2 linked regions of the Caenorhabditis elegans genome follow. The protein of the gene in region 1 interacts with the protein of each later gene in a pairwise test. Each region holds a gene or a part of one and is shown in the gene's direction. Other genes may lie near its edges. The genes, in order: nmad-1 and ztf-17.

What was found.
Region 2: the proteins of nmad-1 (region 1) and ztf-17 interact in a two-hybrid assay, tested with the Caenorhabditis elegans proteins (one large-scale study listed by BioGRID).

The regions. Positions count from the first base shown.
Region 1 is NC_003281.10:5,552,832-5,556,965, reverse strand, and holds nmad-1 (DNA N6-methyl adenine demethylase), read left to right. Parts: upstream 1-2,031; 5' UTR 2,032-2,049; coding exon 2,050-2,166; intron 2,167-2,237; coding exon 2,238-2,322; intron 2,323-2,369; coding exon 2,370-2,527; intron 2,528-2,572; coding exon 2,573-2,802; coding exon of another isoform or gene 2,803-2,839; intron 2,840-3,111; coding exon 3,112-3,397; 3' UTR 3,398-3,477; downstream 3,478-4,134. Other genes in the region: hach-1 (3-hydroxyisobutyryl-CoA hydrolase, mitochondrial), read right to left, coding at 1-94, 145-365, 564-937, 990-1,382, 1,459-1,512. UniProt on the Caenorhabditis elegans protein: Dioxygenase that specifically demethylates DNA methylated on the 6th position of adenine (N(6)-methyladenosine) DNA. N(6)-methyladenosine (m6A) DNA is involved in epigenetic transgenerational inheritance.
Region 2 is NC_003280.10:7,865,756-7,872,133, reverse strand, and holds ztf-17 (Zinc finger transcription factor family protein 17), read left to right. Parts: upstream 1-1,971; 5' UTR 1,972-1,980; coding exon 1,981-2,046; intron 2,047-2,150; coding exon 2,151-2,231; intron 2,232-2,278; coding exon 2,279-2,431; intron 2,432-2,481; coding exon 2,482-2,570; intron 2,571-2,623; coding exon 2,624-2,734; intron 2,735-2,782; coding exon 2,783-3,088; intron 3,089-3,132; coding exon 3,133-3,280; intron 3,281-3,521; coding exon 3,522-3,950; intron 3,951-3,997; coding exon 3,998-4,073; intron 4,074-4,118; coding exon 4,119-4,277; intron 4,278-4,322; coding exon 4,323-4,390; intron 4,391-4,444; coding exon 4,445-4,552; intron 4,553-4,940; coding exon 4,941-5,264; 3' UTR 5,265-5,878; downstream 5,879-6,378. Other genes in the region: T01H3.3 (MFS domain-containing protein), read left to right, coding at 1-182, 230-378, 429-611, 680-765, 813-949; ostb-1 (Dolichyl-diphosphooligosaccharide--protein glycosyltransferase 48 kDa subunit), read right to left, coding at 6,127-6,309, 6,359-6,378.

The DNA.
Region 1 (4,134 bases):
GGCAATGGCGAGAAATAGTTATCGACGACAGAATCCTTCACATCAGCCAACGTCGCTGGATTCCACTTTGGCTTGCGATCCTTGTCAACGAGAACTGAAAAATGAGTCAAATTTTCAATGAAACCCTACAAAATCTCTGCTCACTGGCTCGGCACCCTTCATGGAAATCCTTATCGGCGAGGAATCGTTGAGTGAGACGATACTCCATTGTGAAGATCTTTGCATAGCTCATCTTGCTTCCTTCGGTGATTTGTCGGTGAGTTACTTTCAGGGAAGTTGGGCTCATTTTTCCTAGAGTGGCTGCTTGCTTCTTTGCCCAGTCGGATCCGTCTTTTTCGAGGCTTGCGAGGATTTCTTCGACGCTTCTGAAAAATCAATTATTTTATATATCTTAGGCAAATGTAATTTTTTGTGTGCTATCGAATCCTCAAAACTGGCCCTTTCCTAGTTTTTGCTTAAAACTAATATTATCTGAGAAACAATAATAAATCAATTCGATGAAATGCTACTTTTTAATTTGTTCCAACTCAAATACACGTGATCTTGGTGACAAAATATCTTACTTTGCTTTGAAGGAATCTCTAATTTGAGCCAAATTCTTGGACAGACTGAATTCTGGAATCTTCTTTGGCTCGAACGATCTGATGACTTCATCGACAGAGTTCTCTGTCACATCCTTAATATTCACAAGTTCCTTTTCCAATTTCGCAAGTTCCGAAGACTCCACAAAATGAGTGGCAAGACCAGCATGGAAAGCGTCAGCACCTAGAAGACGATATCCAGTGAGTGCCAAGTACATTCCGAGGTTTCCCTTGAGCCTTGAAAGGAAATAGGATCCACCGACGTCTGGGAAGAGTCCAAGTGCGGTTTCTGGCATTGCTAGCATTGTTTTCTCAGTGGCAACTCGGAAACGTCCATTTACAGAAAGACCACAACCCTGAAACAAGTTTTTTAAAAAATTGAAAAGAAAATAGTTGCAGATAACTTACTCCTCCCATCACAATTCCATCAATCAGACAAACGTATTGCTTATTCAAAGTTCCAATTAAATGATTTAAAATGTACTCCTCGCGGAAGAAATCCTTGTGCATTGTGCACTCTTTTCCACTCTCCGAATCTTTGAAAGATCGCACAACGGCAAGAACATCTCCTCCAGCACAGAACGCCTTATCACCGGATCCTTTCAAAATGACAAGATCCACATCGGAAGATGAATTCCAGGCTTGAAGTTTGGGATAAAACTCTCGTACCATTTCGAGGTTCAACGCGTTTAGCGCTTTAGGCCTATTCAATGTAACCACCTTCTTCGATCCGTGTGTGTCGACAAGGATTTCCGACTTGGCGGCGGCGCTCACGGAGAACGACATCTTCTGGCAGACTTCCTGGAAATTTCTGAGTTTAGAACAGAAAATTTGATAGAAAAATAAAATGTTAGTCAAAATTTGTGAAAAATGAAACCTTCGAATGAAGTCCGCGGAAGAGTGCGGGCAAGTTTCGGACAGTGGCAGCCATGTCTCTGAAAATTGGCTTAATAAAATGAAGAATAGTTTACGAAAACGAGAAAAGTGGTCTTGTTCCGCGAGGTTATAAAGGGAAAACATCACTGATCACAAAAAGAAGCTTGCACTTTGAGCACAAAACAAGAAAATAGGGAAATTTGAGGAATAGACTAATCAATCAATAATTTAACTTTCATTTTCACGCAAATTCCGTTAAAGAATCGATGAATAACTTGTAAAAATAATTAAAATTGATCAAATTAGGGTTTTCCGCCGAAAGAAAAAACTAAATGGGCGGTGCTTAATGAGTGAAACGCAATGTGCGCGCGCTTTTTGCGCAAGTGCCCCGCGCACAGTTTGGCAGGCAGAGATTTTTTCAGTAGACAATTTTTTTTTATATTTTTAAGATTTTTTGTTGGAAAATTAAAGAAGTTGTATCATTTTTCATGTGGTAATTTTAAAAAATAAATGTTCAATTCATTTTTATTATCCTTTCACTCTGAAAATGTTTAGAAATATTACGAAATTCCAGAAAACAACACTTCTCGACATGGGTTCCGCAGAACAAGCGTGTGGCTGCAAGGGAGCTCGATTTTGTGCACTTTGTGAGACAACGGAACGTGTGAAAAAGCTTCGCGTGGTGGAGGATAAGCATGTTAACTACAAAGTATGCATATTTCATTTTAAATAATCTTTAAAAAAAAACAATTGAACCGAATACAAAATTCCAAATTTCAGGTCTTCATTTACGATCACATTCGTCAAATCGCAATTCCAACGACAAATCTGAACTCTCAGTCTTCATTGGAGGATATCATTGATGGTTTTTATTACATATAATGAGTTTTCAACTAAAAATGAAATTTCTAGAATCCACCTCGTGCCAATCCGTATCTACAGACGGCTCCATCGAAATTGACGGGCTCACTCTCATTCACAATTTTCTGTCAGAATCTGAAGAATCTAAAATTCTCAATATGATAGACACAGTTGAATGGGCACAGTCACAAAGTGGTCGAAGAAAGCAAGTAAGAAAATCATTTAATAAAAAAAACATAATTTTAAAAGTTCAGGACTACGGACCGAAAGTGAATTTCAAGCATAAAAAGGTAAAAACGGACACATTTGTCGGAATGCCAGAGTACGCAGACATGTTGCTCAATAAGATGAGTGAATACGACGTGAAGAAACTCGGAAATTATCAGCCATTCGAAATGTGCAATTTGGAGTATGAGGAAGTGAAGAAAAGTGCCATTGAGATGCATCAGGATGATATGTGGATTTGGGGAAATCGATTGATAAGGTATGAATTCCTTTTTAAAAAAGTACTGTTTAATTAATATTATTTTCGGCAGAAATTCGACAAAAAATTTTTATTTTTGCAAAAAAAACGCGAATATTTTAAAACGAAATTCCCATTGACAGTAATCTACAAAAAAAAAAATTTTTTTTAAGATCTGAAAACTTCAGAGTATTTGATTTTTCTCAAAAACTGTGTTCAAAAAAATGCCTTGCCTCGAGAATAATAAATTTAAATACTGTTTGTCCCCATTTCATTTTTTTTTAATTTCCAAAATTTAAAGAACTTTGAAGAATCCAATCAATTTTTCAGCATCAACCTAATCAATGGATCCGTGATGACTCTATCCAACGATAATAAATCGTTCTTATGCTACGTCCATATGCCTCATCGTTCTCTTCTCTGTATGGCCGATGAATGTAGATATGATTGGAAGCACGGAGTTCTCGCTCACCACATCCGTGGACGAAGAATAGCGTTGACGATGCGAGAGGCGGCCAAAGATTTCGCTGAGGGAGGGGAATTGTATGAGAAATACGGTGCCGAGCTAATTCGCCTGGGCAACATTCGAGTACCACTTTCGAAAACTTCCGTGTGATGATAATTCCTTTTTTCTGTCTGTTTTGTCATTCTTCTCCTTGTTCAACCAACTTTTTAATTGAAGAAGTTTTAATTTTTATTCTTTGTTCGTTTCTCGTTCAGGTGCAAAGTAATTATGGAATGAATCGGCTGAAAACCGAATTGGGAAAACAACATGTGACGTCACAGAGAGCCATGTGATCGAGATAAGATAAGGAGTGAACGGCTCGGAGAGCATTCATTTAATGATTGATTGGGATGGACACCTGTCAGATAGACTACATTACAGTTTTCCTGTAGGCACACGTGTGACCCTGAACCTAAAAAATTTGAAATTAAATTCCAACAAAGAAGAAAGAAAACCGTATAATTTAGATAGCCATCTCGATTATTTACCTGTAGTTTGGAAGACTCGTCACGAGGTTATTGAAAGAAAGAGAGAGAGTTCGCTGACAATTTGTTTACCTTGGAATCAAAAATTGCTTGGTTTGCAATTTTTCAGAACCCACGTGGCTGTTATTTTCTTGCGTTCATTAGGAATATTTTAATCTGTCAATTAATCCGTTTATAAAAAAACCGATTTTTAGCTTTGAATTTTAGTTAAAATAATGAAAAGAGACTTGCGCCTTTAAAGAGTTACGGTAGTTATCAAAAGATTTTCAGAAAGTTACAGTAACCCAATGAAGACGCACGTCTATTTTTTTTTAATTTACTGGTTTAAAACTAACTAAAATAAAACAAAGCTTTCTACTCGGA
Region 2 (6,378 bases), on another chromosome or scaffold:
TTGCAGATGCGTATACTTCACTTTTCCGATCATTGTCTGCTTGGAGCATCTGGACTTCTGCATTTGGTCTCTTCTCAGTTACTGCTTTCTTTTCAATTTATCTTCCATCTCTTCTGGCGTCACCCGATGTTTTTGTTGTTGAAGGACTTGGGATTCACAGTAGTTTCCCTTTTCAGCTTTTGGTACGGTTTACAATTTTTATGTTTCTTCAACATTCATAATTTTACAGCCGTTATCATGTATCATCTTTTCTTCTCTCAACGTCCTCTTCAAACCTTCAACAAAGATCGTCAGAATTTTAAATTTCACGGCATTTGCCATTGGCGCAATTTTGATGATCGCTATAGTTCTCGTCGCTTCACTACAAACCAAAGCCGGGTAAATTCCGTCTATTTTTCATTTCTATTTATACTTTAAAATAATTCCAGACTTTTTTCGCTTCTTCTTATTTCAATGCTACCATTTGGCTTGGCCATTGTCGCTGGATTTGTAAGAAGTTTAACCGTCGTTGGAAGAGTTTTTGCCGAGCAAATTGTGGCAATGTGTGCTGTTCCATTTGGACTGGCGTTCTCGATTCTTCCAATGGTTGTTACATATTCTGTGACTGAAAAGTAAGTATTTCAGTTTGTAAAGAGACGAAAAGTTGCTCAGTATTCACTTTTACATTTTTATTTTTTAGCAAACTGGCAGAATGGATGAAAGTCACAATGTTCTTATTTTTCGTTCTTTCTGCTGTCGCCATCGAGTTTGCAGTTTTTGGAAGAGGTAATTTGAACTTTTTTTAATGATTTTCACGATTTCCTATATTCCAGGTAAATCAGCGTCGTGGGCTGCTTCGTCTTGGGATCCGCTTGCAGCTTCTACAAAAATGCAATCTCTAGCTCTGATCGATTTTAATCAAGACGAGTGTGGACTTTACGAAATTCGAAGAGTTGAATCAAAAAAATAAAACAATTGTTTCTTTAAACACTCATAATTGGTCATGCTTTTAAAGCTTGTTAATTATTTGCTCAATAGTTTGCCAAATTTGACCAAAATTGTTTTTCAGGTCAACGAAACTGCATTATTTCAATAATAAAATCTTAATTTAATATTCATATCGCTCTCCCATTTTTATCAAATTTATTTTTTGTTCCTTCCCGTGTAGTATCACTTTCTGTACCATATTTTCCTGCTGTTTTGTTGTGCTTTTTCACATAAATTTTCTCGAACAAAAGTCCTCTGATTTTCACTGAATAAACATGTTTGTTAACAGGAGCGTGAGCGCCTGGCTTTGCGGAGTACTACGGTGGAATTTAAAGTGTGCATCACGTACACGCCGCGCCACACTTCACGACAATTCGTTTTTTTTCTTCGGCGGACTCGGCAACTGTTGCAGAGCTCGCCGGGCATCGACTCGTGGTGTGCCATTCGAGCCAACTGATTACTTTCATGCTGTTTTTAAGTTTTATAAAACAATCGCATAAATACAATTTTATTCCTAAAGAATATATTTATCTAGGCCAAAAAAAATATACTGCAGCGAGAAAGTTCAAAGAACATGTTTTGTTCGAACTTTGAATTATTCAGCAACACTTCATAGAAATAACACATTTTTTGTTCAAAAACAAATGTTTCTGTGAGAAACCGAAGATCATTAAACGTTTGTTGTTTTCAATTATTATCAAAAATTCGCGGAAAATGGTTCAAGCTTTAATTAATCTTATTTGAGTTTTCAGCATTTTTCTATTCGACGCAAACATAATCATTCAGAAAAAAATCTCAAAAAATTCCTCCTGTTCCCTATTGACTGTTTTCTCTTCTTTTTTCAATAAGCTCTTATCAAAATGTTTCATTTCTTTCGTTATTTCCAATGTTTCTGACACATTTTTCGTTCTCTGATCACTATTTTCTACAATTTCATTGCATTATATTCGAATGTTGAAACATTTTGATTGTTCAATCGTAGATTCAAACATTTACATATTTCAGGTAATTCACATGCTGCGCTACCAGGCGTCCGTGTACGGCGATTCGTACGGAAATGACTATCATTTACCAGTACAGGTATTTCAAATATGTTTGACATACAAATTTACAGTCATTAGAAAATTAGATGTTCTATGTCTTAAAAAAATGATTTTAATAAATGAGTTTATTAAATTTTTCAGGGACCATCAACAATCGCTTCGTCCAACGGACTCCGGTCGCAGCAAAGCAAAATAATCAAACGACCGCCGACAAATTACAAAGTGAATATTAACAAAAATCTGGATATTAGTAAAACATTGTCTTCCAGAGTATACCAGCATGTCGGTTGGCACCCCGTCGTCGTCTGTTCGTTGCCGATGGCAATGGCGTTCAGAAATCGATGACAAGTAGTTCAGGAGTGACGTTTCCACCACCAGATTATATGAAAAAGATGAAAGAGAATTACGAGAGTGGAAAAATAGTGAGCAGAATCGGCACACGTGTCTGATATTCTGTTTAAAAACTTTACAGATTTACATTCGTCGTAACAATCCTGGAATGAAAGGTAATCAAATGACTGGAAGACTGACTACAATAAATTCTTCTATACGAGCCCCATCGTAAGTAGAAAACGGCGACGATATAAATTTGAACATCACAATTCAATTTTCAGATACCATGCAACTTCAATGTCAGCAGGAAGTGTGACTCTTGATACAAGTGGCAGCGCTCCAAAATATGTGTATCGTCTGCCAAAAGCAGAATACGGCAATAAGTTCGATGAGTTAGTTTATTGCAATTAACATTTTTTTAAAACTCCAAAATTTTATAGAAATCGTCCCGCATCGAACATGTATGTCCCAGCACAAGAGCCACCGAAACAACATTTTACAACTGTTCCGGCATGTATGTCAATGGGTGGAGAAGTAGTTTTTGAAGAAGAATTAGACGATGAAATTGCCGATCTAGGAGCTGACGAATTGACTGGAGATGGTTTCAACGCTGATAAATCACCAAAATCAGAGTCACCTGATCCTTATTTAAAATCGTCCGGACCGTTGGTTCAACCATGCATGACATCAAAATCGCCCAGCTATAACTTGCTTCAGAGAAATCGGTTGCAAACGTCAAGATTTGCGTAAGTTAAGGTTATCTGATATAAATTATAAAGTGAATTTTCAGGTGTCCCCAACAAGACTGCTTCTGGCGTGGTACTAATGAAATGTCAATGAAAAAACACATGTTAGTTCATGGTCCAAAGCAGCCAGTTATATACGACAAAACTGGTGAGGCAATGAAAGTTCAGCTGGTTCAGCCAAAACCCAAAGGAGTGAGTTCGGTTTTTTTTATTTCTAAAATACCAAAAAGTACTTCTGAAATTCAGAGAAAAATTAAGAAAGTCTGAATTTGAATGAAAGTTTTGGAGGATATTCAAATTCCACGTTTTTAAGAAAATTCATTTTTATTCTTTCTCTGTACATTTTTTCAATATTTCTGAATTTCAGACCATTTAGGAAGTTTTGAATCAAAATCATCATTCTAGCTACTCACTCTTTAAATAAATTTTTCAGGTGAAATGTAGTGAATGTGACACATTCGCATATTCCCGCCCTCTCCTACTTCGTCATATGTATGACTCGCACGGAATTGAAGCTCCTCTTGTTAAACGAACATTTGCCAATCGTGAAATGCTCCAATCGTGGCTCGATTCTCTTCGTGAGACTCATGCAGTCGAGTTTGTCGTCTCATCAGGATCCAAAAAGTGGGGACGAGGACTTCAAGTTCACTATCTGACATGTTCTAGAAGTGGTGATCAGAAGGAGAGACCTAACAAGAAATACGTGAGACCACCCAGACCGTCAATAAAGTGTGGTAGAAATTGTATGGCTTATTTGAAAATCAAGCAGAATCCGACGGTCTCCGAACTACAAATTGAAGGATGCCTTCATCACAGTGGACATGAAATTGATCACACAAGAATGGTTCTAGAATCGAATGAGGTTTCATTTTTTCAGAAATTCATCTCATTGTAAAGTTGAAATTTTAGCTGGCTTCAATTGGAGCCATCGTCGACGCAGTTAATGAAGGTGTCGATGTTTTAGGAAATGTTGAAACTATTCGCAGTAAGTACTGTTCAGTTAATTTTCCCGTTATCTTTGAGTTTATAGGCTATCTTGGATCTTCTGGACGATTCCGTCTCGTCACTGAAAACGGACTAATTGAACAAATGCCAATTTGGTTCGAACAATATCATCGAGATATGGCTGCTTTTAATGGAACTGGCTATCGTAACAATTCAGGACCAATTCCAATCACTAACCCATATTGTAAGTACAATTAGTTTTCTCTTGTTAATTTCAAAATAAGTTTAGTGTCAATGACAATGAAACCTTCTATAAATGGAAACCGCAGACTTCCATATTCCGGTATGACTATAAAGGTATTTCTTTTATTGTAATATATTCTTAATTTTTAATATTTCACGTTTTTCCAGAAGGAGCTAGAATCAATTACGATGAAGAAGGCTGTGCCGATTCGTTTCAATGGAGGACAACTTCAAAATCTCGAAATGAATTCGAGTATTGAGGAGTATGACGAAAGTGTTAGTTTTTGAAAAAAAAAACATTATAAACCGTGATCGGAAAATCCCGTTGCAAATTATTGCAATTTTTACCAGAAAATACAGTATCCCCTTGATTTTTTTAAATGAAAGCTGCGCAAAAAGGTGTGCGCCTTTAAGATGTACAGTAGCCCAATCTTTGGTTCTTTCGTAATTTTTTTTAAAGAATTTCCATCGACTTTGCTCCTAAACCCTGAAATTCAAAAAATTGCATGAAAAACCGGAAATCTCAGCTACAGTACTCTCTAAAATTTTGCTTCGAAAATTTTCTTGACAGGGTCCTGTAGTTTTTCGTCAAAATTCGCATTTTTTGCAACTGATTAATAGAAAATGTATTTATTTGACTTTTTTCAATCGAATCTGCTTTTAGAAAGTCAAAATTGAAATGGACGATGAAGATGCTCTCGCGACTCAAAGTATTTTGAAAGATGACTTTGAAGAATTCAAAACCGAAGATTTATTTGGACTCGGTGGAGGAGACGATGAAATTTTGTGTGGCGGAGAAGAAGCTTCAGGAGTTACTTCTAATATTGATGGGATTCTCGCTGCAAATCTTCCAGATAACTTTAATGATCCGCTGTGCGGTATGGACTTGGCCACTGATTTCAGTGGACCATTTGATGATGACGTATTCGATGAGCTACTTGGACTCACTAATTTCAACGATCGTCACAATAATCTCAATATTTCTTAGAGTAAAATAGAATATACATAGCTAGATTTCTTCCTCTTTCAGTCTAGCTAGATTCCTTTTTTTTGTTTTAAAAGAGATTTAAACCTTTTTGGTCATTTTATCTTTTGTTCATGTTTTTCTTCTGTTGTGTAGTTTTAGATTTTAGTTCAGTGTGTTATTTCTAGTTGTAGTGTGTTTTTTCTTTCTATTTTACTCTTTTAGGTTGTGTTACCCTTTTAATTTTAAGAAAGCTTTGACTATGAATTAAATCTTTTATTGTAATCTTCAATTTTCAATCTTTTATAATAATCTTCAATTTTCAGTAGATCAATACATTTTGGTTATCTTCTTTTTTGAGAAATACCGTACCCACCTCTCTGCACTTTGTCATATAAGCTAGGAAGTTGGTTGTATTCTACGTTTCTTTTTACCTTTACATTGTTTCTTTATATTCATCTTCTTAATGCTCATTTCAATGTAAATATACTCGGTTATCAAAAGATTACCAGAGTCATCCATTCACCCTCTCTTCTGATTAAAGTGTAGACCCAAATTTAAAGAAATAATATATCAAACGTATTCCCTAGCTTCTGTTCTTTGTGTTTACGCCTATGAATAAAACATGAAATCCTTCTAACATGAAAAATATTATTATTATCACAAAAGTACATACTTTTAAAGAAATACAACCAGTTGGGACATAAAACTTGAATACATTAAAACAAAAAAACTTTGGTAGGAGAAAGGGGAACGAATATAAATCACCTAAAAGCAGAAAAATAAATAAGTTAGAAATCATTGGAATCGGGCGATGAAAACGAATTGAGGAGAGAGGGAGAAAAAACCAGTAGGCGAAGAGGCAAACTTTGCGAAAAAAGAGCATTTAGTTTTTCTTCTTTTCGGAATCCAGAACCTTGGCTCCTTTGACTGGCGTATCTTTATGATAAAGATAGACGATGGAGAACAACACGAGTCCCGCCATCATTGAGAACGAAGAGGCGTAGTATGGATATGCGGAGCGAATGAAACGTTCATACTGGGTGTGCCACAATGGACGAACCGACACCTGAATAATATGTGTAATGCAAATAAAGATTGTACATCGTTCTACTAACCTGTTGCACATCATAGAGAT